3 linked regions of the Cricetulus griseus genome follow. The protein of the gene in region 1 interacts with the protein of each later gene in a biochemical or structural test. Links are inferred from orthologs where the notes say so. Each region holds a gene or a part of one and is shown in the gene's direction. Other genes may lie near its edges. The genes, in order: Gipc1, Rgs19 and Lrp2.

Evidence for each region.
Region 2: the proteins of Gipc1 (region 1) and Rgs19 form a complex in vitro, tested with the Homo sapiens proteins (2 studies listed by BioGRID). The link is inferred for Cricetulus griseus from reciprocal best matches to the Homo sapiens genes GIPC1 and RGS19.
Region 3: the proteins of Gipc1 (region 1) and Lrp2 form a complex in vitro, tested with the Homo sapiens proteins (2 studies listed by BioGRID). The link is inferred for Cricetulus griseus from reciprocal best matches to the Homo sapiens genes GIPC1 and LRP2.

The regions. Positions count from the first base shown.
Region 1 is NC_048596.1:160,761,144-160,766,636, reverse strand, and holds the start of Gipc1 (PDZ domain-containing protein GIPC1), read left to right. Parts: upstream 1-2,290; 5' UTR 2,291-2,416; intron 2,417-5,493. UniProt on the Homo sapiens protein: May be involved in G protein-linked signaling.
Region 2 is NC_048599.1:214,234-219,863, forward strand, and holds the start of Rgs19 (regulator of G-protein signaling 19), read left to right. Parts: upstream 1-2,029; 5' UTR 2,030-2,185; intron 2,186-2,213; exon of another isoform or gene 2,214-2,379; intron 2,380-2,542; exon of another isoform or gene 2,543-2,709; intron 2,710-2,852; exon of another isoform or gene 2,853-2,913; intron 2,914-3,243; exon of another isoform or gene 3,244-3,949; intron 3,950-4,625; 5' UTR 4,626-4,698; coding exon 4,699-4,728; intron 4,729-4,861; coding exon 4,862-4,983; intron 4,984-5,630. UniProt on the Homo sapiens protein: Inhibits signal transduction by increasing the GTPase activity of G protein alpha subunits thereby driving them into their inactive GDP-bound form. Binds to G-alpha subfamily 1 members, with the order G(i)a3 > G(i)a1 > G(o)a >> G(z)a/G(i)a2.
Region 3 is NC_048599.1:105,763,278-105,768,154, forward strand, and holds part of Lrp2 (low-density lipoprotein receptor-related protein 2), read left to right. Parts: intron 1-1,421; coding exon 1,422-1,512; intron 1,513-2,229; coding exon 2,230-2,297; intron 2,298-2,435; coding exon 2,436-2,553; intron 2,554-3,052; coding exon 3,053-3,182; intron 3,183-3,907; coding exon 3,908-4,009; intron 4,010-4,877. UniProt on the Homo sapiens protein: Multiligand endocytic receptor. Acts together with CUBN to mediate endocytosis of high-density lipoproteins. Mediates receptor-mediated uptake of polybasic drugs such as aprotinin, aminoglycosides and polymyxin B.

The DNA.
Region 1 (5,493 bases):
TATTGCTGAAGAGAACACCTACATATCTCATTGAACACAGTACCAACTAGATCCTTTACCCCTACTGACTAGTGTTCATGTAGTGGAAGGTATTCTTCATGCTTCCAGAGAAGAAAGGTAACTACCAACCATCTACAAACCCTTTGATCTACAGTGGTGATCTGCCTGAATGATATGCTGGTGCAACAGTGGCACAGAAGCTGTGGGGATAACCAACTGTGGGAACATGGTCAAAGAATGACATATGGTGGACATTGCCTTGGGCTCCAGAAGAAAAGGCAGAGGACTTATTACCTCAAGTATTTTGTTCCTTGTATTGTTCTTGGATGTCAGAACATAGCTATAGAATCCAGTCTGGTGAAAGGATATGCTGAGAGCTGTCCTGGGTGTACCCTGAATCTGGATATGGCCTTGCCTTGCTTTGTGCTTTCCCAGACATAATTAAAATGAAATTATCTAATGTGCTTAGCAGGAAAAACTTCAAGCCAAGGTAACATTCATGTTGTGGTTAGCTATTATGTTTATTTTGAATTTTTTGATTGCTGAAAAGCAAAGGACAGGGTTTCTCTGAGTAGCTCCTGTCCTGGAACTCACTTTGTAGATCAGGCTGGCCTCAAACTCACAGAGATCCATTTGCCTCTGCCTCATAAGTACTGGGACTGAAGGCGTGTGCCACTACCTCCCAGCCATTTATCTATTATTATAACTAAGAAAAACTATAACTATAATTATCTATCTTCAACTCCATCAAAGACCTGAGAAGGAATAATATTACCTGAATAAGGGCAAGCAAGCGACTTCTTAAAGATACAGGAAATGACAGAAACAGCTGGCTTTCTGGACAGTCACCTCAGGTTTTGTTTTTTGGTTTTTTGGTTTTTTTTTTTTTTTGGTGATGTTGGGGCATCCAATTTTGGCTTATAGGCCTAGAATATCTGACATATCATTTTCCATTGTCAGAAGCAAGAAAATCTGAAGGACTCTCCTAACCTTTCTTGGCAAGGTTCAGCAGTCACTTTTTCTTGTGTCCTGTTTGTCTGGATTGGACAGCATACTTACTGTCAGCAGTCCAGGCAAGGGCAGCTCTTTACCCAATAGGCCAGTTTTGCTAAAAGGGAAACAAACTCCATATGGAGTGACTTCAGTGCCCATCATCCTCTCAGGAGTAGATCAGCTGCCAGGAGCAGATGTGTCTCATGTCAAAAGAATTTTAAATTATCAAAACATTTTAAATGTCATATTCTGTAGGTCTTTGAAGTGTTTGAAGATTACCAACCCATCTAAAAATATATCTCTGTATATCTAGCTAAACCTAACATAACATTAAGTTTGACTATTATAAACTGCATAAACATAGTATCATAAACAAGAGTAGAAATATAAATATAGCATAACAAAATTAACCTTAAGTTTATATCAAGAAAGTAAAATATATAACAATGTAAGTATTTTGGGATTAGCAGTTGTTTGGGGGTTAAGGAGATTCAATAATCTACCCTTTTCCCCATCATACATTTCTATGAGGGAGGAGGAAGGGGAGAAGGAGGAGGAGGAAGTGGAGGAGGAGGAGGCGGCGGAGGAGGAGGAGGAGGGGAGGAGGAGGAGGGGAGGAGGGGAGGAGAGGAGGAGGAGGAGAGGAGGAGGAGGAGGAGGAGGAGGAGGAGGAGGAGGAAACCTGCACTGGTTGGTCACCATCTATGATTCTGCACAGTACTGAACTGACAAGCCGACTGTTTAAACATTCTCCATCGTGTATTCTTACACAGCTTTACTAGCAAAGTGCTCTGTGGCTCTCTGTGCAGCTTCGGAGCCTTTGCACACCCTGTATCTCCATTCATGTGTCTGTAGAGCCAGGACCGAGCCTGGTACCAGGCAGGGGCACTTAAAGATTGAAAGACTGAATGAATGCACGGTTGCTTTGTCTATTGTGTAGAGTGGAAAAAGCAGAGACACCCGGGACCCTCCCTATTCACTATGGCCCACCCCCTGGAGTCAAAGCATCTTTCTGGGAGGGAAGCTGAGCGAGGGTGTGCTCTCGGCCGCCTCTCTGACCTCCCAACGAGCCCGCTTTCCTGGATGCCGAGCGCAGTCCTCCAAACCCGGTCATCTGACTCTTACTGCCAGCTCCCGCCCAGCTCCCCGTCCTCTCACCCGCGCAGCCCCTCAATGGTTCAGCCCGCCGCCATTTAGAACGAGTAAGGTCGGACCACTGCGCGTACAGGGGGGAGACCGAGGTGCGGCGGAGGGATCCCTCAGAGCGTTCCGACGGGAGGCACCCATTGGCCGCCAGTATGGGAGGCCGCCGCTGATTGGTCCGCTCGGGACGCCGGCCCCGCCCAGGTACGGGAGGCCGAGGGAGAAGCCGGGCCGAGTTTCCAGAGGATCGAACTGGGCGCGCGGGGTGGCTGCGGCGCAGGTGAGTGTTCCCCGGCCAGGGGCGGCCTCCCGGGCGTGGAGCCGTGGCGGCGGGGTGGGGCTGGCCGCGTCGGGACCCCAAACACGGACCCTTCCCCTCCGGCCGGGGCCTCCGGTCCGCCCCTGCCCTCTGCTCCCGGGACGCTCCCTGTTGGTGATGGGTCCCGACCCCTCCCGGGCCCCTGCCCAAAAGCTGGCCGCGGGGGCACCGAGGCCGCCGAGTCCGGAAGACAATAACAACCGCAGTAATAGTGCGGACCACCCCCCACCCCCGCCTCGCTAGCCCGGACCCAGCGCTTCCTCGTCAGACGCTTACAGTGCACAACATTGAATCAAAACAGCCTCCTGGGAGGGGCTGTTAACTTCTTTTAGAAGTGAGGGATCAGGGCCAGAGAGGTGGAGTGACTCACTCAAGGTCACACAGCTAGTAAGTGGCCGGTGGGGATGAGGGACCCATGCCTTGAGTCCAGAAACTAGTCCCAGAAGTCGTCCCTGACCAGCCAGCCACCGGACTCACTGCACACGGCCGCCCCCATATTCCCTTCGGAGCCGCACCTGCTGGGTTTTGCTTCCCCGAGCCCACGGGTCACTAAACAGCTTCCAAGTTGCCCTCGTGTCCCTTCTCTTGAGCTGGCCAGGCAAGGCCTGACGTGGGCCCTTTAATCCCATTCCCCCTCCACCCACCCTGTCTACTTACTGCGAAGAGAAATGAGCGAGAGTGAGTGTAGAGGCCGGGGCGGGGGAGCGGGGCAAGAGGTGCGTCCACTCGCCCCGGAAACACTGGAGAGATGAAACCTTTAGGATCCGGTTTTTCAAGAATGAATCAGAGGCCTCCTCCCCTCCTCCCCAAAGTAGTACTGTGCTGGGGGTTAGGAGCGAGGGACGACAGGTGTGGTGTCCCCTAAACTGGGAGTTATCTGAGCCCCAGGAGTCCCCCTCCCTGCTTCCTGCACCTCCCACTTAGCGTTTCTGTGACTGCAGGGTTGCTAAGTTTCTGGCCCTTCTTGGGATGAGAGCGCTGAACTCCGGAAATCCATCCAACCCACTTCCCTTCAGCTCCTTGCAGACAGCGGGGAGGAGCTCGTAGCTCTCTAGCAGTCATGTTGGTGGGGTTTGGTTCACAAGCAGGGTTATAGGACATTCACTCTACAGTTCACCTGCAAGTGCTAAGCAGCCACTGTGCCAGGCACCATGTTTTGCTTGGAGGGAAGTGTCCTCCAAATGCAGGACAGAATTCCCTGCATTCTAGTGGGGAACAGGCAACAAGTTAACATGGGCAGCCACTGCAGATCCTTCTAAGTGCTGAGTGACCTCTCAGAGATCACTGGGCAGGGGGAGATCACACACACACACACCCCAAGGCAGAGTGAAGTATAGAATAGCTGGAACAGGGAATGAAGCTATAGATGTGATTGAGTACCTGGTACAGAAAACACATTTTTTTATTGTCGAGTTTTCCCCTATACGGTGAGATTCCTTTGTGAGATAGGAGATGGTTTGCATTTTAAAATAGAGACACAGGCTGGAAAGACAGCTCACAGACTGCATGCTGGGAGTTCCATTCCCAGCCCCCACATGGTGGGTCACAACCATCTCTAACTAGTTCCTTTTGACCTCTTCAGGCACCCAAGTGATGCACAGGCAGACATGAAGCAAAGCTCTCATACACATAAAATTAAAATAAAATAAATTTTAAAAATGAAGATGCAAGATAAATAGCAGCCGGGACATTGAGAGACAAGCTCTGTCAGGGTAGCACACAGCAAGTTCATAGACCCTAGTACTGTGGTGCAGCTCCTGTGTGCGGGCTGGGCAAGCCAGCTGCCTGGAGAAGTCTGGAATAGGCCTTGCCAGCATAGGAACTGGGATGCTTCTAGGCCAGGGAAGGAAGGATGTGACCAGAATAAAGACTGAAGAAGTTTGGAGGTGCAGGTCAGCAGTACAGCCCCTGCCCCGAACCTGTGGGGGAGGTGTGGGTCGGCAGCAGAGTGCCTTCCAAGCAATGAAAGATTCTAGTTTCTGTCTCCATCACTGCAAATAATAACACGTCCAACACTTTCTGATGAGATTCCGTAAGTACCCAACAGACATAAACTCTGCCAGATTCTCAGGAGATAAAACTGCGGCCTCATGAAGCTAAGCAACTTGGCTTTGTCTGTGCCACTGGTGAGTAGCAAGGGTGGAACTTGAATCCAGGCCATCATCCAGGCCATGTGTCTCAGGGTCTGCATCATTGGTTTATTAGTCACTCATTTTCCTCAGTGCCTTGGGTCTCTCACCAGAGGGCACACAAAAGCTGGACTAAACCACAGCAGTGAATATGTACAGAGACAGAAAGGAGGCTGGGGAACAGGGTATGCGGTGCAGGACAGTGAGGAAAGACAGTGTATCAGCACACACCCCAATAGTATTGCGGGGACTGTCCCAGGCACACACATGCACTCACACACCCCCAATAGTGTTCCAGGAGCAATCCAGGCATATACATGGTTTCCTTTTTGATCAGACGAGTTAAGATATTTGGCCTAAACTGGGCAGTGGTGGCACACGCCTTTGATCCCAGCATTCAGGCAGATCTCTGAGTTTGAGGCCAGCCTGGACTACAGAGTAAGTTCCAGGACAGCCAGGGACTACAGAGTAAACTTAAAACAAATATAGAACAAGGAATGGTGATCAAAAGAGTGTGTACCAAGGAGGTGCTATTGCTCCTGTTCTCTATTGAGTGTGGTGGCATACAATTCCATGTAATTCATTTCAGTTTACTTCTGTGAAATAGCCAGTGAGTGTCTGTAGTATACTGGGATACAGAGCTATGGACAGACAGATGAAAGAACCAGTAAAAGACAAGTGCCCAGAATATATAAAGAGTTCTCACAAATCAATAAGAAAAAGACCATCCAAGTAAGGCTGAATCAGCCAGGTGTAAAGAGGCCTGTTATCCCAGGACATGGGAGGTAGAGGCAGGAGGATCTTGAGTGTGAGGCTTATTCTGTATTGTGCAGGGAGACAGACCCTCCTTGAAAAAGCAGAGCAAAAGAAAACAATGCAGGGCCATGTAGACCATGGAGATGGCGCACT
Region 2 (5,630 bases), on another chromosome or scaffold:
CTCACAAATCAGCAGCAGCTCTTAGGAGGAGGGGAGGGGGTTTCAGGCAATGGGGAGGATGGCAGAGCAGGGAAATGGTAGGTTTGGACATGGGTGTAGACAGGGAAAAGGAGACAGTCTCTTCATCCAGGAATGATGGTCACACACACCCAGATTGTAGTCTTCTAATGACAGTCAATTACACCAGATGATAGCCAATGCTGGGCTCCTCTGGTCAAGCTCCTTGTAGAGGAGCTTGCCAAGGATTTGCCAAGAGCCTAGAAAAACTTCATCTATTTAGTAAAGTCACTTTTCCAACCCTGCATTTCTTCATGGTGATCACAGAGATGTCTAAGATTACCGCAGTGTCCCACATAGTGAGTAATTCAGATAAGTACCTCAGAGCAGAGGGCTGAGGACACACACACCAACATCCTGAGAAGGCCAGCATAACAATGGCAAAAGAGCTCTACACCAAGTGTCAGACCAGCTTAAGAGTGCCACTTGATCTCCACATCAGTGAGGGATTGGGTTTACAGAGTAGGCTAAGGAAGGTGGCACAGGATCCCTCTGTCTGAAGAAAATCCAACGAGGATACAAAGCCTGTGGCCCATGCACAGTTAAGTGGGGCTTATGAGTGGCTGGTGCCGGGGTGGGGGGTGGGGCTGGGAGTAGGGGTCCTGCTCTAGAAAAGGGTAAATTGTGTTAAAGTTCCATCCTCACTAGTGTCACTTGCTCAGTGCTCCTGGTCTCCTGCCTAGATTTAGGGGCATTCTCTGTGCTTAAAGATGCTAATTGAGTATAGAACAGATGTAAGGTAGCAGAGAACAAGTGGGTAGGCATGTAAAATGAACTGAGGGGAAGAACGCATACTGACTTCTACCCACAGCCAGTTGCCCACACCAAATACTGCAGAATCAGCTTTGTTTTGTTGTCTCCACCTGGTATTGACCCATTTCTACTGGGCCTCCTTATTCTAAACTGTGTCCACTTCTCAGGACTATTATCTAAAGCAACTACTACTGTTTAGATGGGCTTCTTAGCCTCTACCTTGCTTTGGAATCCATCAGGTGGCAGCTAAAGGGTTCTGGCTTTTTTCATCAAGCCCCACACAGCATTAGAGAAAGCCTGGTAGCCTCAGGCTCTCAACCAATGTTCTCTCTTCATCCAGACTCCCTGAACATCATGGCAACATCCTGCCCTCCTCACCTCTCACCCCATCCCTTTTGGGCCTGTCTCCCATTCTAGTCCACTGCAGTTAGCTCCAGGTCAGTCTGTCTGCCTGGGACCCGCTGCCTCAAGAGTGGGTATTTGCTTTGCACCTCTAACTTCTGTGGTCAGCATATACAACCTGTGCGATTAAAAAGTTTTTTTTTTTTTTTTTTTTTTTGCAAGACCCTAGCACCTGAACTGGTTAGGCTGTGTTCCAGTGCTAAGAAGGGCAGGAACCGCATGGCCCAAGCAACCACACACACCCTACAAACCAAGTCTAAAGTAGGGTCAGGGCCCCTGGACACTTGCCCAGAGCATGCTGGGATAATGAGCTAATTCAAATCTGCACCCAATAATAAAGGATCTGAAGAGCTGGCCAAAGAGTAAGGCCATTTGCAGAAAAGGCTATCTTGGAGCAATTTGAGGGGTCAATAGGGAGGGACTCAACTAGGCCCCAGAAACTTTCGGGGTAATTTGATATAAGAACCTGCATTCACAGTGCCCACCAAGCTGCAGTTCCTGAATCTCCCTTTCTCTGTGGACAGCAGAGTGACAGACCAGACTCAGAAATGCGAAGGGGTGGGGCGGACAGGGCAGTACAACAGGCCAGTCCTTCCCAAAGGCCTCTTCTCATCCTGCCAAGAAGCACACTGGGCTCAGCTCTGGTGCCCCACACTGCACTACCACAGAAAGGAAAGGCTGGGAAAACCTAGCTAACCAGACGGAGCGCCGGCTCAATCCACTGTCTGTGTACGACTCACCCCTCAGGGTCACCATGCCACGCTACCGCAGGACGACACGCCAGCGCGGGTGGGGCGCGGGAGCGGGCGCGGGGCGGGGCACTGCGGGCGAGCAGGCGCTGGGGCTCGAGGAAGTCCCGGCCCCTCTCTTTGGGGAAGTACCGTGGAGGCGCCTGCGCACTGCGCCTGCGCCCCCTCCCCGGCGACAAGCAGGACTTCGGATCGCGCGGGCGCTGTGACTCGGGGACTCTGCGGTGAGTGCGGCGCTGGACCGCGGGCGGGCCCCGGAGATGTAGATGCCGGCTCTGTTCCCGGACTTCAGCGACCAGCCCACGTGGACCTGGGTCGCGGTGGGACCGGAGCCCACCCCCTGCGCGTGGGGGAGGGAGAGCCGCAGCAAGGTTCCCCTTTTTCTTCAGCTCAGAGCTTTGAGAAGTAATTGCTAAAGGTGGGGGCCGGAAGAACCCAGGTTTCCGTGTCTCCCGCCCGCTAGCCTAGTGGGGAGGGGCCAGGCCAGACACCGATCCACCACCTTACCCACCCTTCGAGTTGGGTCCACTAGCCACTCGGCCCGGCGAGCCTTAGGGGTGAATGTTGCGCCCCCTCCACAGCCCCACCCGAGAGGGATTCTGTGCGCCTTCCTATCTCGCGAATACCCAGGAGTACATCTTGCTGTCTGACTTAAGTCCCTGCTGCTTTAGAGCACGCCCCTTCGGCAGCCAGGGTGGGGCCCAGACCGAACCTGGCCCTCCCGCCCCCATCCGCCTTTAGGTCGCTGGTGAGTGGGGCCTCATGGCGAATTCCTTAAGAAAGGGGTGGGGGCGTCAGAGACTGCGAGAGGGACCGCGAAGAAGAGACCAGCCCTCCAGACGACCCCACCAGCAGAAAGCAGTAACTGGGTGGGGGCCTACCATCCCACAGGTGGGCTTGGGCAGCGGGGTTCGCCATGGTGAGAGAGGTCTGGCCCGCCATGGAGGTACAGGTAGGACAATGACAGTGTGGGATGGAAGTGGGAATGGAACCCCTGTTACCCCCCCCCAAAGGTTCTTTTCTTTTCTTTCTTTTTTTTTTTTTTTTTTTTTTTTTTTTTTTTTTTTTTGGACTGGTCGGGCTTGAACATTTTCTTCTGTGGAGCAACACGGCAGCCATTCCCCAGGGAGCTTCTGTCCCCAGAGACCAGATTTGCTGCATTTGGTCTCAGCATAGACTTGGGAGGCCAACGCCTGGGAGGCTTGGGGAGGGAATGAGCCATCCAGTATCCGGAGATGGGGCAGGAAAACCCTAATTCAGATGCTGGGCTCCCCTTCCCTAGAAAGAAGGGAGGCGGTAGTCAAGAGCACTCTGGACGACATGGGTGGTCCCAACCGACCTTTGATGGGTGCAAGGAGCCAGGACAAGAGCCTGCAGCTGGGGAAAATGGCAGACACCTGCGTCTGCACAAACTGGACCCCAGCATCCAGGCCCCACACACCCCAGGCTGTTCCCTGTCCAGTCAGCTGGTTGGAGATGGAGCATCTGAGGGATGGTCTGCAGGGTGATGACTCTGGAGAGCCTAGAGACCTTAGGCTACTACACCCCTTCCTTTCCCTAGAAGCTCCACCCCAGGGAAGTACAGCCCAAGCTACTTTTGTGTCCTGGTTTGCACGCTGGGAGACTTGGGAACCCACCATCTCAGAAATCGAGCCAGGTGGTGGGGCTGCCCTCAGTGTACAGACCTCAGGCAGAAGAGGATAAAGGGCCTCCCTCTGCTGGATTCAGGGCTACAGGAGGGTGGATTTCATCGACAAAGTAACGTGAGCCCCAGGTTAATGTGAGGAAGGTGGGCAGAGCAGAGATCTTAAGGCCTGGATAGCCTAGCCTCCACCTGGTCAGAAATGGGCACAGGCTGGGGAGAGAGGAGGCATTCAAAACTGCTGCCAGGGTGCTAATTGGATGCTTTGCTTCTGTTTTTCCTGGGGACACTGGAATTTGAAGTCAGCTTTCAGAGGCCTGAGAGGTTCCTAGAACCCCCTGTGAAGGTGTGGTCCAAACATCAAGAATGATAAATCATATGAAAACCCATTGAAGAGCCCAAGGCTCCAGCTAAGCAGCTGATCCTCCCACATTGCCACCCCAGCTTCCATGGCTAGCACTCCCTGCTTCTGCATCCTCAGGAGAAAAAGGGAAACCAGGGTGAAGTGGGGGTGTCTGACGCAGCCAAGGACCTAAGAGCCTTGTTACCTAAGTACACATCTCTCGAGTAACCCCCCACCTCCATTCCTCACTTTCAGGAAGTCTTGTTCTGAATTCTACTCAAGTACTCTGGTGCCTCAGACCTAGCCCTCTGCAGTCATCTGGGTAGCATGTCTACCCACCTACCTAGAGGGAGGGAGCCATCAGAGTATCCTACCATCTCCATACCAGCCTGTAGCTCCAGTCCCCTTAGGAGGGGCCAGGAGCCGGAAGCCAAGAAAGAGGAACCCAGGCTTCCGGCTTCTTGGGGACTGAGTAGATGGGGGTATCTTAGAGCCCTTTGTGGGAGGCCCAACTGCAGTAGCCCCATCATTGCCTGGGGCACTTCCATATGGGGTTAGCACACAGACTTGGGGTAGAGCTCTGAGCAAGCTCCCTCTGAGGGACCTGAGGTGGTTGCAGAGGTTACAAGGTGGGCCCAGGTCACAGGCCCTCAGTCAGAACTCCCAACACTCTTCTCAGATCCAAGCTCCCAGACTGCAGTGAAGGTCCAGAGCTGGCACCACAGAATCTGTGCAACCCTCTCCACCCACACATGCCCACCCCACATGAGGCGGAGAAACAGGTAGGCACTTCCTCCCTCTAATTGGGTTCCTGGACACCTGAGGCCCTTGGGGGCACAGCCAGTTGGGCAGATGGGCAGACATAGGGTCCAGTGAATTCTGGAATGGAGGTTGAGGCAGCCCCCTCTTCCTCAGCACACAGGACCAGAGGAGGCGGACAGGCCCCCCTCGATGTCCAGCCATGATGCAGCCCCCTCAGGACCCCCCAGTCGCAACCCCTGCTGCTTATGCTGGTGCTGCTGCTGCAGCTGCTCCTGGTATGTGGACCTTAAGGGTGCAGCTTATACTGGGAAGAAGACCCCAGGGCATTTGGGCAGGGGTACATGGCTCAAAGAGGGCAAAACCAGAGTATATAGGCCTGGGGGTACATGGTATATGGGCCTGGGGAGCAGCTCATAGAAGAGATACAGAAGCACTGAGGCATATAGGGGTGGGATGGGGTGGATTTTAGGACTCAGACCCAGTCCTGTTCCCTAGACCCTCCACAGGCTAAGAAGAAACTACTTGTAGACAGGTGCCTCTGCCACAGCATCACCCTGTCCAGAGATTGCTGAGAGCCCTGTTGGCTGGTAGTAGTGCCCACATCCTCTAAGGGGCTTTATATGGCTCTTAAACTTTGTGTGTATGAATGTTTTGCCTGAATATGTGTGCCACATGCATACCTGGAGAGGCCAGAAGGTGTTGGAACTGGAGTTACAAATGGTTGAGAGCCAACATATAGGTCCTGAGAACCAAATGCTCTTAAACACTGAGCAATCTCTCAGACCCCTTTGTGTGGCTCTTAAACCTGGTGTGCTGGGGCATACTATATGCAAGAGCCAAGCAAACGGCATGCATATGGTGCCCATGCACTCACCATATACCGGTTTATACAATTGAGATCTGTCCAGACCAGAGACTTGGA
Region 3 (4,877 bases), on another chromosome or scaffold:
AAGGCAGCAGGGAGTGGGGTAAGGGGTGGATGCTGTGTTTTGGTTCTCCTGCAGTGCTGTGCATAAAAGATCCGTTCTTCAGTGGCTCATCTAAATAGTTAACTTGTCATGGGGATAACTACTGTCCTTAACCAATAGCTTCTGCGTAATAAGCTATCAGAAAGTCATTCTTCAGTTTACCCTGCAGCCTATTTTATGGCTAACATCCTGGGGGCTTCCTGAGGTGTAAGCTGGTGGGGAAATGAAGGTATAAACAGTTCCTACGGCTGGGGGAGCAAGCACTTTAACAAGGATTCCTCTCCTTTGGAGAAAGTGCTCAGGGTTCTCATCTCTTCTGCCCCTGTGCTCACTCCAGTCTTCCTTGGGTGCTTTTGATAAGATTCTGCTATTTCGAGGCTGGAGGGGGGCTTAGAGGCTGCTTGTTCAATCCCGGGCTCCCACACAATGACTCACAACCTCCTGTGACAACAGTCCCAGGGGACCTGACAATTTCTTCTGGCCTCTGAGGGTGCTACAGCCATGTGGTGCACAGACAATACATGCAGGAAAACACAAACACTCTGAGATTGTCATTTAAAAGAGCTTTATCCAAAGTAAGCCTGTTAACGACTATTAACAGATGTTGCATATACAGGGTCTTGATGTGACCTATTGTTAATGAACATATCAGTTAGTTCAATGGCATTTATTGGGTGTCGACTCTGTACCAGGTGTGACTGAAAGTTCCAGAGATGAGAGAAGTGAGTAAAACAGGCAAATCCCTTCTCTCATTGAGCTTACTTGCTAGTAGGATAATAAGCCAGGAACCCTGTAAGTATGTAATAGGACAGGTGGCTAAAGTACATGCAGTAGGCACAGGGCGGGCATGATTGGCTTGCCTAGCCTCTCTGATGAAAGGAACTCTGAGTAGAGACAGTAGACAAACTCATCAAATAAAGCACACATGTGGTAAAGAAATCATCCAGGTGGTATGCCGGGGGTGAATCAGGTGCAGTAATCCAGTGGCTAGATTTCCCTCAGCTGCTTTCCCATCTATCTGTGTCTGTGTGTCTGCCACTTGCCTGGTCCTCTGCTGATGATCTGGAGTCCTGGGTTGCAGTTTCAAGCTGTGTCTAAATGAAACTCTTGGTTCTAATGGTTCCCAGAAGAGAATCTGGGGGATTTCGGGTGACACAATATATACTCTGGGTTTAACCTCACTGCTTAGAGGAAGAAAGTACTCTGAAGTTTCTATCTATCACTCCCCAGGATCTCACCATTGTTTAGGAAGTTCATTTGCCTTTGGGAACAGGTGATAACTCAGCAGGGAGGCCCGACATCCCCTTTACCCCTCCCGCCTCAGTCCTGGGCAGGTTTTGCATGGTGTAGTGCTCTGCTTGCCTGTGGCTGACTAACCCATGCATGGCTCTTCCTTTCTGCAGCCATCGAACTTCCCGTCATCATGCCTCCCCCATGCAGATGCATGCACGGAGGAAATTGCTATTTTGATGAGAATGACCTCCCCAAATGCAAGTAAGTCTGACTCTTGAGGTCCCAGTTGTAGGCCTTGGCTCTTCTAGGGAACCCGAGCTCTTTATAGCTGGGGAAACAAGTGCAGGAAGCTTGCCCAATTCACCGTTTCCGTTTCCATGTCTAACCAGCTTGTCCTCCTTTGGGGGAGTCTGCAGAAGGTGAGGCCATGTTTCCCAAACCGTACCTGGCATAAGCCTTGGCTGAGGATCTGGCTCAAATGCCTATGTGCATTTGAATGGAATGGCAGAGTCACAAGGAAGGGCAAGGAGTGAAAGAAAGGATAGCAGTGTGTCTCCCTATGCCACCTCCCACCTCACCTGGGATGATGGCTTAGGAAGGAGCACGGAAGGGCAACTGACAGGAGAGATAGATGCTTCAATACAAGGCTTATGACAAGCAGACTAGCCTGTGGGAAACCTTCACCACAGAACAAGAGGAATGGTCGCTTTCCCGAAAGCTGTTGGAGGATGGAATGCTGCCACCGTGCCTATCAATTCTCTCTAAGGAAGAAGTGCAAAGAAGCCTTATTTGTGAGGCTGACCCTCATAGATGCCACTCCACCATAAGTGAATTTCTGGAATCGGACAGAGCAGTGCTTTTAGGCTGGCAGGAGAAGCAGCTGTGATGCCGGCTGCATCGCCTGTTCCTCATGCATTTCACTGGCCACAGCACTAGGAGCCTCTAGAAGGTGACTAAGTAGTCTCCTCTTGCTTCTAGGTGTTCTAGTGGCTACAACGGAGAATACTGTGAGGTTGGGCTCTCAAGAGGCATCCCTCCAGGGACAAGTAAGTGTCCAGAATATGGGTGACCTGCAATAGTCACGGCCCTCCATCTTCCTTTTGCCCCAGGCTCATGGGCTCTAGCCGCTCTAGCCCTCCTGGTCATGTGGTGATGTTGACTCTCTGTTTCTGTCCCCTGTGCAGCAATGGCTGTGCTGTTGACATTCCTGATCATCATCATCATTGGGGCTCTGATACTCCTTGGATTTTTTCACTACAGAAAAACTGGCACCCTTTTACCCACTCTGCCCAAGCTGCCAAGGTCAGTTTCTGTGTGTTGGCTTGGCTTTCTACAAGTGACCTCTGTTTCTTGTTCTGATGTTGTATCTGGGATTGTGCTTTTGTGTGTTCAGGTAGACGGGGGTGGGGGTGGTGGTGAGGGTTGGGCTTGCTGCAGTGTTTTTTGGTTTTTCGAGACAGGGTTTCTCTGTGTAGCTTTGGAGCCTGTCCTGGCTCTTTCTCTGTAGAAAGGCTGGCCTCGAATTCACAGAGATCTGCCTGTCTCTGCCTCCCGAGTGCTGGGATTAAAAACAGCAGCCCAGCGCTGCTGTGTTTTTGACATGTGTACACAACATATCTTTTGTTCGTTTGTTTTTTTTGAGACAGGCTTTCTCTGTGGCTTTGGAGGCTGTCCTGGAAGTAGCTCTTGTAGACCAGGCTGGTCTCATAGAGATCCACCTGCCCCTGCCTCCTAAGCACTGGGATTAAAGGCATGTGCCACCACCACCCGACTAACACAACATTGTTTTGGTTCATTCCAGTTTAAGCAGCCTTGCGAAACCCTCTGAAAATGGAAATGGGGTGACTTTCAGATCAGGGGCTGATGTTAGCATGGACATTGGTGTTTCTCCTTTTGGCCCGGAGACAGTTATTGATAGATCAATGGCAATGGTGAGTGGGTCTTCCATGTGACTATTTGAAGTTTTCCTTTACAGTAACTTATGGAAGAAACCCTTCTTATAAGGAACAAAACTAACCCTGGGGGATATTAAAATAAAGAAACACAGTCTGTCCTCTGTAGGCCATATAGAGTTGGTGGAAACTATGACTCTACCATCTAAGTATTTATTTATAGATAGTCAAGGGCTGACCTTTTCTGGTCCTTCTGGCCTCTTGTGTAGAATAGGGACGTGCCTGCCGCTTATGAGCAGCAGGTGGCACACTCAGGGATGAGCCTAGCACAGCTGTGGCCCAGCAGGGCCTTTCTGTAATCTGAAAACCCACTCCTAATGCTTTGTCTCCACCTCCAATCTTCCATCCCCACACCTGCCTGAAAGAACAATATTCCCCGGTTGCCTACCTTCCTGTCCTTTTCTACCACGCATCCTTTTCTCCACTGTTCTGACCACAGTGGGTTACATACGTTAGAGAACCATAGAGAATTCAGCTGTGGAAAGAGTATTTGTGTTTTCCAGGGCAAATGGCGTGGCTCATTATTTATTAGCTGAAACAGTGGGTTGCTACAATGGGTCTCTGCTGCTGCTATCTTTCCCCCAGCCTCTCTAAGACCTCCTATTTGGGTGACTTTGTGAAAGTGTGGTAGGCATCCAGGTATGAGGGAGACACCTTTCTGTCTGGTATCAGTGGGTGTGACCTCTCTGTCTCCTCCCCACCAGAACGAAAACTTCATCATGGAGGTGGGGAAGCAGCCTGTGGTATTTGAGAATCCAACATATGCAGCTAAGGACAGCACTTCCAAAGCAGCCCTGGCAGCTCAGGTGAGATGTCTTTCTGCCTTTGTTGCCATTGAATCTTCCCGTGTTCAGAATGTTTGCCTCTAACCTGCCCTCCTAAAGGGATGAAACACAGTGACCTTCATCTCAGATTCCCTGTCCACAGTCATGAAGCTGCCCTAGTTTACAGCCCTGCAAAAAGTTAGAGCACTGTGTCTTAGCAGAGACTTTGCTGGGGGTGTTCTCTGTGCTCAGTCATTCTGAATCAGTCTTAGCAAGGGGTATGAGTCTATTAGAGATGCAGGAGACACAGGGTTCTATGACAGACACAGGGAACTATGTCAGAAATGAGTAAGAAGGAGATAGGTGTCCCAAGGACACAATCTGAGCAGGAAGATGACCTGTACTGCACAGAAGTCAGAAATTAAGATTTGCTTGGCAAAGGCTTACTATTGCTCTGTATTAAGAGAAACTGGGAGAAGAGACAGACAACATGCTTTTCATTAGTCTGGACTAACAGCCCATGCCACCTTTAGACTTGACCTGTGCCTCCTTTTTCTAAGTAGCTACAGCAAATAGCCTTCAGTATTTGTCAGTGACTAGATTTCTTTCAAATTCAGTATTGGTATACTTTAATATTATATGATAGAAATGTTTCTTTCAAAAATAGCTTTTGTGTTTTGTTTTGATTTTGGTTTTTCAAGACTGGGTTTCTCCATGGCTGTCCTGGAACCAGGCTGTCCTTGAACTCATAGATCTGCCTTACCTTACCTCCCCAGTTCTGGGACTAAAGGTGTGTGCCACCACTGCCTGGCTCAAAAATAGCTTTTTTAAGAGCAAAAATGTTTGGATCTTGAAAAACTCTTACCTGCTCCTTGATAGTGCATCATGGAGCAGAGATGAAATTTCATCT